Canis lupus familiaris: one gene and its partners. The protein of the gene in region 1 interacts with the protein of each later gene in a pairwise test. Links are inferred from orthologs where the notes say so. Each region holds a gene or a part of one and is shown on either strand. Other genes may lie near its edges.

Evidence for each region.
Region 2: the proteins of POC5 (region 1) and CETN2 interact in binary tests that used the Homo sapiens proteins (3 or more experiments, as listed by UniProt). The link is inferred for Canis lupus familiaris from reciprocal best matches to the Homo sapiens genes POC5 and CETN2.
Region 3: the proteins of POC5 (region 1) and CETN3 interact in binary tests that used the Homo sapiens proteins (3 or more experiments, as listed by UniProt). The link is inferred for Canis lupus familiaris from reciprocal best matches to the Homo sapiens genes POC5 and CETN3.

What each region holds. Positions count from the first base shown.
Region 1 is NC_049224.1:30,951,201-30,954,686, forward strand, and holds the end of POC5 (centrosomal protein POC5), read left to right. Parts: intron 1-437; coding exon of another isoform or gene 438-452; exon of another isoform or gene 453-1,465; intron 1,466-1,492; coding exon of another isoform or gene 1,493-1,609; exon of another isoform or gene 1,610-1,637; intron 1,638-2,409; coding exon 2,410-2,553; 3' UTR 2,554-2,984; downstream 2,985-3,486. UniProt on the Homo sapiens protein: Essential for the assembly of the distal half of centrioles, required for centriole elongation. Acts as a negative regulator of centriole elongation.
Region 2 is NC_049260.1:122,023,813-122,027,997, reverse strand, and holds the start of CETN2 (centrin-2), read left to right. Parts: upstream 1-1,383; 5' UTR 1,384-1,423; coding exon 1,424-1,522; intron 1,523-2,439; coding exon 2,440-2,598; intron 2,599-2,909; coding exon 2,910-3,038; intron 3,039-4,185. UniProt on the Homo sapiens protein: Plays a fundamental role in microtubule organizing center structure and function. Required for centriole duplication and correct spindle formation. Has a role in regulating cytokinesis and genome stability via cooperation with CALM1 and CCP110.
Region 3 is NC_049224.1:18,661,762-18,665,957, forward strand, and holds the start of CETN3 (centrin-3), read left to right. Parts: upstream 1-1,394; 5' UTR 1,395-1,534; coding exon 1,535-1,551; intron 1,552-3,771; coding exon 3,772-3,907; intron 3,908-4,196. UniProt on the Homo sapiens protein: Plays a fundamental role in microtubule-organizing center structure and function. As a component of the TREX-2 complex, involved in the export of mRNAs to the cytoplasm through the nuclear pores.

The DNA of each region.
Region 1 (3,486 bases):
AGTAAAAGATTTGAGCTTCCATTTCCTCTTGCGTAAAATGGGAATGTTAAGAGTACTTCGCTCCTACAGTTATTTTCTGGATTCAGGATTAAATGAGATAATGTAAAAATTGAATGAGATATAGATTTTTTTAAAAGGTATTTTATAAATTGTAACATCATAAGCATATTGAACTTGAAAATTACTAGAGTAAGGTACATGGGATACTGCTGTATTATTTCTTAACAGTGCATATGAATCAACAATTTTCTCAAAAAGTTTTTTTTTTGAAAGTTATAAGATCACATCCTTAAAGAGAAACAAGAATTGATTTTAAAAGAGAATGCTCCGTACATAAATTTTCAATGTTAGACAACATTCCTGTCTACTTACTGTGTCAAAATATTAGCAAAAATATATGTGAAATGATTTTGCATCCTTTTCTTTCTGGGCACTAGATGGTTGCTAGATGATTAAGAGAAGCTGGAGAGATTGTTTAAACTTAGCCTCCGGTAAAGAATGGCCATAGGAAAGGAAAGTGGAAGACGGACACAGAGGCACCAAGTCCAGATGGATATGGAAGGTGGAGGAGTATCAGCCTTCAGAGGTTGCAGAGACTCTGAAGTCCTTAGGTGACTTCTCGACATATGTTTGAATATGTGAGATTAGTTATCAGAAATAAGAAATGAACTAATTTCTATTTTTGCCAGCACATATGTGTATAGAGAAGGGACTATCCATTTATAAGATAATGAAGGCATAAAGAGACCATACATATATGCTTACTTTTAATTTAGGCAGCCTTTTGTTTTTGTACTAATGATAGGAATTTGTATTCTACGAGGAAAAAAAACCAAAGAAATAAAAGACAACTCCTCTGAGGCTTCCCTCCCCAGCTGCCCTTTGCTGATTGTCTATAACACTTCTCCAGCAACTGGTTGTGAACAAGACAGCCGTCAACTGCTTCCGTTATTCCCTAAGTGGGACTATATGACAGACAGCTAGAGCAGTCCTCTGTACTCTCCCTCTATCCCCAGAATTGGGAGCTGTAACTACTGGAAACAGCTGTTCCTAACAAACCATGGATTTCTGACACATTAGCCCCATCTGCTGGATAATTGCTTGTTCCCTGTGCTCCCTCATTCTAGGTCATATTTTTGTAGATCATGAAAGCAGTGGTAGGGTGAATCTGTTTCTCCATTTCCTGTAGCCCAGGTCCCCAAGGAGAAATCGCTCTCTGAACAGGGTCGGATTAGGTGGTTGGCAACTAGTTTCTTACTAGTTGGAAGATCTCCCCACCTGTAATGCTTATCCAGTTACTTACGTACAGTGAAATAGTTCTGTAAAATACCTTACAGTCAGGAAATTATTTTTCTGTTTCTTTAAGGAGGAACTCTTAAAGCGGAATGTCACAAACAGCTTTAAGAGTTTTCATTCATTATTTTTTTAAGAAAAGGTTTTTTTAAAATACATAGTGAATGTTGTGGTCAGATATATATCATTTTACTTCAAGTACTTTAAAGAGGACTCCTCTAAGTGGAAGACTCTACTAGGAATGTGCCTGCACCACTCAGTGCCGTGGCCTGCCGACTGGATAATGAGTTCCACTGCTGCCTACTGGAAGTTGTAGCCCCAGAGTATAGGGAATCCTTGTACTGGTACGTCTCATGCGTGTGTATGCATGTAATGTGTACTTAGAAAATCTGTACTTGCACATATTACATGTGTAGGTGAAACACATGTGTAGGTTGTACCCTGACTGAGTCTTCGATGCTCACGTCCCAGATGTTCCCCAGAGCTCTGACGTGGCATGGGTATCCTCCTCTCAGTGTGTGTCCCTAGCATCCAGTTATTTGTATAGAAAGTTGTAATCCATGCTGAGGAGCACCAGGCTGCTGGAAATACCTTCGCTTGTATGATCATAAAAGGTTTAGTCAGCTCCCAGGTGAGCCAGGCTGAGGTAGGAGACATGTGCTCTTTTCTGAAGCAAGGACCAGGCAGGATTCCTCAGAGCTTCCCCCTTGTTCCCTGAGGTTGAACCCCGTGTGTTCACAGATACAGGGAGGAGAAAACTGACCAGAATGGAGGGAGGGCTTGGGGCTGACCCTTCTTCCAGACACCATAAAGTCCCTTTCTGTACTTGGCCTCTGTGGACATTTCAGGATTCCCCTGGAATCCTCTCTGTGGAGTGACTCCCACGGCTCCTTATGTGACCCTCTGCAAGGTAGGTCTATACTGAGTATTGAGCATGAGTCTAACTTACGGATTAAGGACCACAGCTTAATTGTTCTCATGGCTGCCTCCCTAGCTTACTGCCTCTGTCTACTGGATGCTTAACAAATGTTTGTTTGGTTAAATTATATATAATGAAATGGCACTTAATGTGTGTAATCTTACGGGATTGTTAAAGTAGACTTTTAACTTTTTCAGCAAACCATTCCTCAAGCTGCTGCAGCAAAATATCCCCGGACGATTCATCCTGAAAGTAGTACCTCAGCTTCTCGGTCCCTCGGAACCAGGTCAACTCACACCCAGTCTCTCACAAGCATTCACTCCATAAAAGTGGTTGACTAAAATGAATATGCACATTGAGATCTTTTAATTCTTCTGGTTTTACCAAGGATTTGAAGTCTCTAGCTTTTAAAATTTCATCTTCTTAGAACACCATGGATACATCATGTTCATCTTTTCAAAATTACAAGAGACTCTTTCAAGTCATACCATCCTTTGTAACTATATGTAGGCTTATTTTAATGTTATTTTTTAATTTAAGCAATTAAGTAAAACTTTTTTAAAAAGCGACTTAATTTGTTTAATAAGTTCAGCCTGTCCCTGATTATACCATAAAAGTGTATAAATCCTGTTTTCTCAATGTTATTTCCAAAAGGCTAAATCATTTCCAGTGTTATTAAATAAATTTTGAGAACTTTATTAAAAAAATTATTTTAAACAGATTTAATTAAGGTATTTTTATTTTAAAAATAAAGAGTAATAATGATACTGTATCACAAAGTCTTTGTGATTATTATTAATATATTAATATTAGTTTTCATTTTCCTAAGACTGTTAAAATTAAAAATGAGAATTGGTGAGACCTATGAATAATGTTAATGTTAAATGGGGGTGGGTATAGCACTGGGCAACTCAGCAAACCTTCTGGGCCTGGCAGAGACTTTTCAGAGGCTGGCCAATAGGAGGAAGCCAGCTGGGTAAAAGTGACTGAGGAAAGCAGGACCAGGCTTCTCATGGTTTTATTGCTAGCTGACTGGGTTATCTTGGGCCAAACATTTAATTTCATGAATAATAGGATCCCATCTGTGAAACAGTGACATCTACCTTCCCCTCCTATCTCACCCAGTACTCTGGGTTACATAAAAACAAATTCTAAAGGATTTATCCGGAGCCTCAATTTTCATATCTTTAGCAGAACTAGATGGACTTAATTAGAAGCCTCTTTGACTTTGAACGTGATCTATGCTCTAACTTTATTATAGGAAATAGTTTTTC
Region 2 (4,185 bases), on another chromosome or scaffold:
AATGAGACATCCCCTCAGCTGCCAGAATGGCGAAAATCAACAACACAAAAAATAGCAGGTGCTGGCAAGGATGTGGAGAAAGGGGAACCGTCTCCCGGTGTTGGTGCGAATGCAACCTGTGCAGCCACTGCGTAAAACAGTATGGAGGTTCGTCAAAAAATTGAAAATAGAACTACTCTCATGATCTAGTAATTGCACTACTGTTACTCAAAGAACACAAATACAAATTCAAAGGGATACATGCACACTGATGTTTGTAGCAGCATTGTTCATGATAGCTAAGATATGCAAGCAGCCCAAGTGTCCATCAACAGATGAGTGGATAAAGGAGATGTGGGGTGTGTGTGTATGTGTGTGCGTGTGTGGGGAATACCATCCAGCCATAAAAAATGAAACCTTGCCATTTGCATTGACATGGATGGGGCTAGAGAATATTATGGCAAGTGAAATGTCAGAGAAAGACAAATACCATATGATTTCATTCATATGTAGAATTTAAGAAACAAAATAAATGAACATGGGGGGGGGGGTGAAGAGAGGCCAACCAAGAAACAGACTCTTAACTACAGAGAACACACTGATGGTGACCAGAGGGGAGGTGGGGGGGGGAATACGTTACATTGGTGATGGGAAATAAAGACTGCACTTATCATGATTAAAGAAAACAAAAGAAATTTAACAGAGTTTTATAAAAGAACAGTCTCCAGGCACCCCTCACACTTTCAAAACTCTTGTGTGACTTTGCTCAGTGTCTCCGCCCGAGTGGGTGTCAAAAAGTACATTTTGATGACCTCTCCCCTCATGCTCAGTCATATCTGTTTCACTCCCTCAAAACTCCCCCTCAAAGGGAGAGCCTCAGCGGGATTCGGTTTCTAAGTCGCAGCTGTCCACACCTCCTCGACACTCCCATTCCCTTCTCTGGCTCTGCTGTCCCTTGAGCACAGTCTCTGCTCTGACCCTCAAGGTCACGGTCTTCTCTGGCCCCTCTTTCCAAATTCAGTCTTAAGCCAGACCAGAAAGCCCCCAACCGGAAGGCCCCACCCAGCCCCCTACCCTCCCACCCAGTAGCGGATAGAAGGCAGCCTCCGAGGGTGAGGTCGTGACCCTTACCCGTCCGTAGGCGACCCCCCGGCCAGCCTCCGCGCGCCCTCAGCTTGCACCCAAAGGCCTCGGGCCGCTGGCGGTCACCCTTTTCTCCCCACCAGCATGAGCCGAGGATCGGCCGAGATGCCTCCGCCAAGGGGATTGGCTCAGCTCGGCGCCGGCTCAGCCAATCGGCGCTCACAATGTGATCCTGTCCAATGAGGCCAGGCCTCGGCTGTGAAAGCACAGCCCCCTTGCCCTGGGCCTGGCCTTTGTCCGCTTAGCCCCACCCACCACGGCTCCCCGCCAATGGGGAGCAGCGGCGGCGAGCGGGCTGCCAATGGGGAGCGGAGCCGCGCGCGCGGGGCGGTGGGAAAGGCGCCGAGTCAGTGTGTACGTCGGTTGCCGTAACAACGGTCCGCGGAGTCCATCGGCAATGGTGAGTGGGGGCCGCCCTTTGGTGCCCCGCGGCCAGGGGCTGAGCCCTTCTCAGGCTTCGTGTGGCCCTGCCGTCGCTCCCGCGCCGCTCTCGGCTTTGGAGTGCCCCTACTTCCTCTCGGCTAGTTCCCGGAAGGGTAGGGTAGAGACGTCGGCCGCCACCTGGGCCTGCGGTCCTGCGCCGCCTCCCCTTCGTTCAGTCTGCGCCCACCCATCCCTCGGGCGCGCGTGGCCTTCCCCTGCCAGCCCCCGCGTGACTGCCCCTGGTCAAAGAATACTCGGGTTACCCGCAGGCTCTGACCTCTCAGACCCTGACCTCCTGGTCGCTTCGTGCTACCAAAGTTTACCCACAGACCTGGGAGGAGGTTTATTATGTTTGATTGTTAACGTGCATTCTGAATAAATACAGGGATCTTTCGGGAGACGTTTTGATCTAATTAAAGTAGGCACAGACCTGCCTAGTGGATGGAATTTTATTATACACCTTAGCAAAGTAGTAATATTGGGCCAAATGTAGAAGTAATCACAAAGTTGGAGTACAGAGAGGAGGAATACTGCGAGCCAATGTTGTAAGGGCTTTTCTTGAATTAGGATCGCCAAATTCAAGGACAGCTGATCATCTGTACAGTTATCCACAGTCAGCTCCTTGGCTGGATCTCTTTGGGGATGATTTTCAATAAGAGATGTGCAAAGGAACACGGGATCTCCTTGCTTCTACAAAGAATAGGAAAAAAGAAGGAGGGATAGCGGTGCACGGAAAGATTGTTGTTTCAAGTAAAGCCCTGTTATCTCTCCTATTAAGCAAAGCTGTGGAATTGCTTGGTGTAAATATTTTATGTAAATATTTGTAACTATTTTATGTAAAATATGGATTGCATCACTTAATATCGTACTTCTGTGTTTGTAAAACACCTAAAGGCCTCTAACTTTAAGAAGGCAAGCATGGCATCATCTGCCCAACGAAAAAGGATGAGTCCTAAGCCGGAGCTGACTGAAGAGCAGAAACAGGAAATCCGGGAAGCTTTTGATCTCTTTGATGCTGATGGAACTGGGACCATAGACGTAAAGGAACTTAAGGCAAGCCCTTTACATTCCCACTGTACTGCCTTCCTTTCCTCTACTTCTTTCTCTTCTTTCCTTGTCACTGCTCTACCCCTTTTGCCCTCTTTTCCCTGCAAAAAGTTTTCCTGTTTTTCTCTTCTCCTGTCTTTATTTACCTCAAGTGTTATAAAATAAAATTGAGCACAAATATCAATCTGCATAACGCTATAGTGTTTCCCAGTCATTTTAACATGATTGTGTCAGATGCTGGCCTCATGCTCTCACTGTCATTTTTGTTCCTGCCAGGTTTTGATGTGCATATTGACATGATCCTGTTTTCATTGTAGGTGGCAATGAGGGCACTGGGCTTTGAACCCAAAAAAGAAGAGATCAAAAAAATGATAAGTGAAATCGATAAGGAAGGGACAGGAAAAATGAACTTTAGTGACTTCTTGACTGTGATGACTCAGAAAATGGTAAGTTACTAGGATAATCAGCCTATTTTCCACCCATATTGGTGAACAAATTTGAATCTAGATATAAAAATGTCTTCACTGAAGAAAGGTTAATACCAACTGGAGGGTTCTGCTGAAAAAGGGCAGTACTTATGACTGACAGGATGCTTAGGTTCTATCTGGCTCTCTTCAAGGCCACAGAATCACAGGAAAAGTCAGTTTACCCTTTGAGTAAGAGAACTGCTGTCACTCTTTTGTGATTATTTTTTTCCAACTGATGTGTTAACGTGCTGACCACAAGCAGTAAAACCTGTAAACACCAGCAATATTGCACTGCCTGACAATATGAAATGCCTATACTTTAAAGGTCAAAATTCTTTTCTCTCTCGTTTCTGATTCTGGGCGGCTCTAGCCTGAGGGCGGGTGACTTCTGACAGCTGTGTTTTCCACTACACTGGGAATTTGGCCTTTCAGCACTTTCATTTTTTTTCTTTTTTTCTGATTTTATTTTTTATTTTTTTATTTTTATTTTTTGGAGTTCGATTTGCCAACATATAGTATAACACCCAGTGCTCATCCCGCCAAGTGCCCCTCTCAGTGCCCATCACCCAGTCACCCCAACCCCCCGCCTACCGCCCCTTCCACTACCCCTGTTCATTTCCCAGAATTAGGTGTCTCTCATGTTTTGTCACCCTCACTGATATTTTCACTCATTTTCTCTCCTTTCCCTTTATTCCCTTTTGTTAACTTTTATATTCCCCAAGTGAATGAGACCATATAATGTTTGTCCTTTTCCAATTGACTTACTTCACTCAGCATAATACCCTCCAGTTCCATCCATGTTGAAGCAAATAGTGGGTATTTGTCGTTTCTAACGGCTGAGGAATATTCCATTGTATACATAGACCACATCTTGTCTATCCATCCATCTTTCGATGGATACCGAGGCTCCTTCCACAGTTTGGCTATTGTGGGCATTGCTGCTGTAAACATCGGGGTGCAGGTGTCCCAGCGTTTCACTGCATCCTTTCAGCACTTTCAAGGTTGAAGTCACCCATTCCCTAGTGCCTCACTTGTCCCCATTTTATTTTTTAAAATTTTATTTATTTATTCATGAGACACACACACACACACACACACACACACACACACACACAGAGGCAGAGAC
Region 3 (4,196 bases), about 12 Mb from region 1:
AGACTTTCTTCTGTCCTACTGGTTCTCTCCCTTCTTTAAACATATATATATATATATGTTTATATAATAAAAATATATACCTAAACACATATATAAATATATACATAAACATATATATATATATTTATTTATTTATGATAGTCACACACAGAGAGAGGCAGAGACATAGGCAGAGGGAGAAGCAGGCTCCATGCACCGGGAGCCCGACATGGGATTCGATCCCGGGTCTCCAGGATCGTGCCCTGGGCCAAAGGCAGGCGCCAAACCGCTGCGCCACCCAGGGATCCCAACATAAACATGTGTATTAAATATATAAACATGTTTATACGTATAAACATATTTATATATAAACATATATAAAAACATATATAAACATATATATGTTGAGGATATATATATATATATATATATATCCTTTATACATAGCCCATAGTGTTTATACATCTTCCCCCTTACCCTGCCTCAACGCCATATTCAGGCTATTTCACTCCTTTATAAGGGTTACAACTTAGTTCAGTGATTTGTGGGTTTTCACAGCAAGATCCCACCCAACGCAACAAATATTCATTGAGCGCCTGTGCATCAGGCACCGTATCAGGCACTGGGATCCGCGTTAAATGAAAGATACCATCCTGCACTTGAAGAAAGCCTAGTAGGAGTGATGAACAAGTAAACAAATTACCCAGGTGAGCTTCAAGAACTTAGTTTGGAGCTTAAGATAATATAACGTGTATAAGCAGCTTCCAACCCTGTAAAACAAAGGATGCAAGAGAACAGATCCCTTCAGGGAGGGAGAAGGGAGCTAAGGTACCGTCAAGTGCCGCTTTACCGTAAGTAGCCTAATAATCCAACCCATTAGATATACAATCTATAAGCGACAGCACCTGCCTTAAAAGCACGTGGGATTGTAAGGGGGAAAAAAATGCAAATTCATACCTACTAAAATCAGAATTGGGAGGACGGGACGTTTAAATCTGCGTTTTAAACAAACTCCCCATGGACTCAGGCCACCCAAGGTTTTAGAACACAGCGCAGTCAAATTCGGCAGGCCTCATTCCCCAGCCGCTCCCTCCCTTCGGCTAAGGAGGCTGGCCCCGCGGCGCGCCTCTCCTCCCTCCCTCCCTTCTCCCCCGGAGCCGTCCATCTCGTCGGCGGTCACCCAGCGGGAGGCAAGGTGCAGCCACCTACCGCCCAAACTACCACGCAGACACCTGGACCCTCGCTCCGCAAAGGATTCCGGGAAACCTCAACAAGCCAATAAAGGGCGGGGAGGAGGGGCAGAAGAAGAGGGACGAGCGGCTTCTTTGATTGACGCGAAGCACGCCCAATGAGAGCAGAGGACCAGGGACGCTTCCGCCTCAATGGGCGGGCTGTTAGCAACGTCAACCAATCCGACTCCGAAGCGTCTACCTTGTGGGAGGTCCTTGAGGCCGCTGAGGTCGTTGGTGTCTGTTGAACGGCTTGTGGAAGTCGTGCTGCCTTGGGCAGGGCGTTAAAGTCGTTCTCGAGGGGAACGTCTCTGTCCGAAGAGAAAATGAGTTTAGCTCTGAGGTCGGTAATGAGGAGGCCGCAATGCCCTCCACACCTCGCAGCGGGCCCCAGGGCTGGCGTGTGTAGAAGGGAGGTAGCTGGGCCGAGGCGAGCTGGAAGGGGATGCATTTTGGGATGAGGGCGAGGAGCCTCGGCCAGCCTTCCTGGCTCGGATTCCTCACCCTGGGGGCCCTGGTGCTCCGCAGGTGAGGAGTCCCGTGCATTTGTGCCGAGGTAGTTAGCGTCTGTATCAGCGCGTCGGGCTTTGCACCACCGAGGAGATGGGTTTCTAGTTGGGAGGAGGGAGTGAAATATCGCGATGCTTCTTCTCGCGGTGTTTCTCCGCGAAGTCAGGCCGGGGAGCCTCCCTGGGTTCAGCTCCGCCCTCCGGGTCTCCGGCCCCTGCAGCCCCTGCAGCCCCTGCAGCCCCTGCAGCCCCTGCAGCCCCTGCAGCCCCTGCAGCCCCTGCAGCCCCTGCAGCCCCTGCAGCCCCTGCAGCCGTCAGACCGAGCTATAAATTTTGGAAAGAGCTTTAAACTCTTCCTTGCTCTTATCCTGGGGCCCTGCTTTAAGATATAACGGGCGACCCATATAAATGACTTTAATTGATTTCTCAAAAAAAAATTTTTTTTTAGTTTTGTTTACCTTTCATTGACTTCCAATCTCTAACCCCGTTCGTTGCCCCCAGCAGCAGCAGCACCTAGATGTTTTTACACGTTGCACCTTAAAAAAAAAAAAAAAAAAAAAAAAAAAAAAGGTGGTTACGCCTTTCTGAACAGGTGCGGCTTTGGGTTGGGAGATGATGGTGGCAGCCCTGCCTCGACCCCGTGGCGGGTCCTGCTGTTGACCTGGCCGTCCAGAGAAGGTGACCGCGGGGACTGGGGTCCCTGTTCGCGCGAAGTCAGGTGTCTTGTGAAAGGTTGTCCCCCCGCTCTGTTTATTACTATAGGTCTCCTGGTCATCTTCTGATCGTCTGTCTCTTGACGGTTTTGTGGTAGGTTTTTAGAAAGCAAAACACAGGCAAATAGGTAAGGTGTTTTTATTAAATAAAATCAACTAGGCTTTACATTTCAAAGTGTTAGGAAATTGGTTTCAAACTTCTTGTACGGATGTTGCGGCACCATTCGAAATTTTGGAACACTAAGATGAGTATCTCTTAAGACATACCTGGCTTTTTTTTTTTTTTTTCCTTTTTTTTTTAACATTTATTTATTCTTGAGAGTTAGAGAGGCAGAGACACAGGCAGATGGAGAAGCAAGCTCCAATGCAGGGAGCCCGGTGCAGGGACTCGATCCCGGGACCCCAGGGTCACGCCCTGGACTGAAGGCAGGTGCTCAACCGCTGGGCCACCCAGGGATCCCCATTTCTGCCTTTTTAAATAAAATCTACTTTCAAGAAATTTCCAGGATTTAGGAGAAGCTATATCTAAATTTACAAGTGAAATTTAGAAAACCATGGACTCTTCACTATGGGGTGAGCAAGGCTTTGACTCATGGAAGAAAAATTTCATTTTTCTCTCAAATAATTCCTTTTAAGAAATTTAAAAAATATAGAAAATTAGCACAAACATTCTTGTTTTGGCTTTTAATTTTCATGGTATATTTAGACTTCAGTATTTCGGTTGATTTGTTAATATCAATGGAAGAAATTATAAATAAAGCCCCAAACTTAGCAATGTGTACTGTAAATCACTTTGAACCCACAATGCCACAAACTTTGTAAGTTAATTGTTAAGTGATACGCTTTTTTTGGTAGTAATTTTGATAACTTATAAATGCTCTCAAAAGTAAGCCAAATATGCAATGATCCTCAATTATGAATTTTCCTTTGATTAGTTTAATACTATGTTGTAGAGTAATGTTAATAAGTAGGAGTGCTTTAGTTTTGTTGCGATTTCTGTGATGAATAATTTTTTTATTCACAGTTATTTCTTCCACATTAATATCAGAATAAATACAAAGCCAGAAGGAAAGAAAGTTAGGTCCTTTTTTTCTTATAATAACATGTAACACTTTTCAGTTTTGGAAAGTGCAGATTTATAGCAGCTTAGACTATGGATTGAGCAAGGCTTTGACTCATGGGAAGAAAAATTTCATTTTTCTCTCAAATAATTCCTTTTTAGAAATTAAAAAAATTCTTCCTTGTTTAATTTCTTTGTCGCATTTTGAAATTTTAATTATCTAGATGTGTAGGAGAATAGAATTAAAGTAGACTGAATAGACTTTTCTTCTCATTTCATAGAAATGAGCTTGTAGTAGACAAAACAAAGAGAAAAAAAAGAAGAGAACTCTCTGAAGAACAGAAACAAGAAATTAAAGATGCTTTTGAACTGTTTGACACAGACAAAGATGAAGCAATAGATTATCATGAACTAAAGGTAATAATGTACTTTAAAATGTATATTTTTCTGTTAAAATTGTTTGCATTTTCTATAGTTGGCTAAAATAACCCATCTAAAGTATTTTAACTAAACTGGTTGTGGAAATATGAAACCATTTGAGATGTTCACAGTTAAGTGCTATAATAAAATTAAATACTAGCATCTTTTTAGACTTTCCTTTTCACACTGTGAAGCGAATAGTATTTTAAATATAAAAGTATATTACTATGGTAGGGCCTTATTTTCACTCATGTAATAAAAAGATTTCAAACTATAGGTTTTAAAC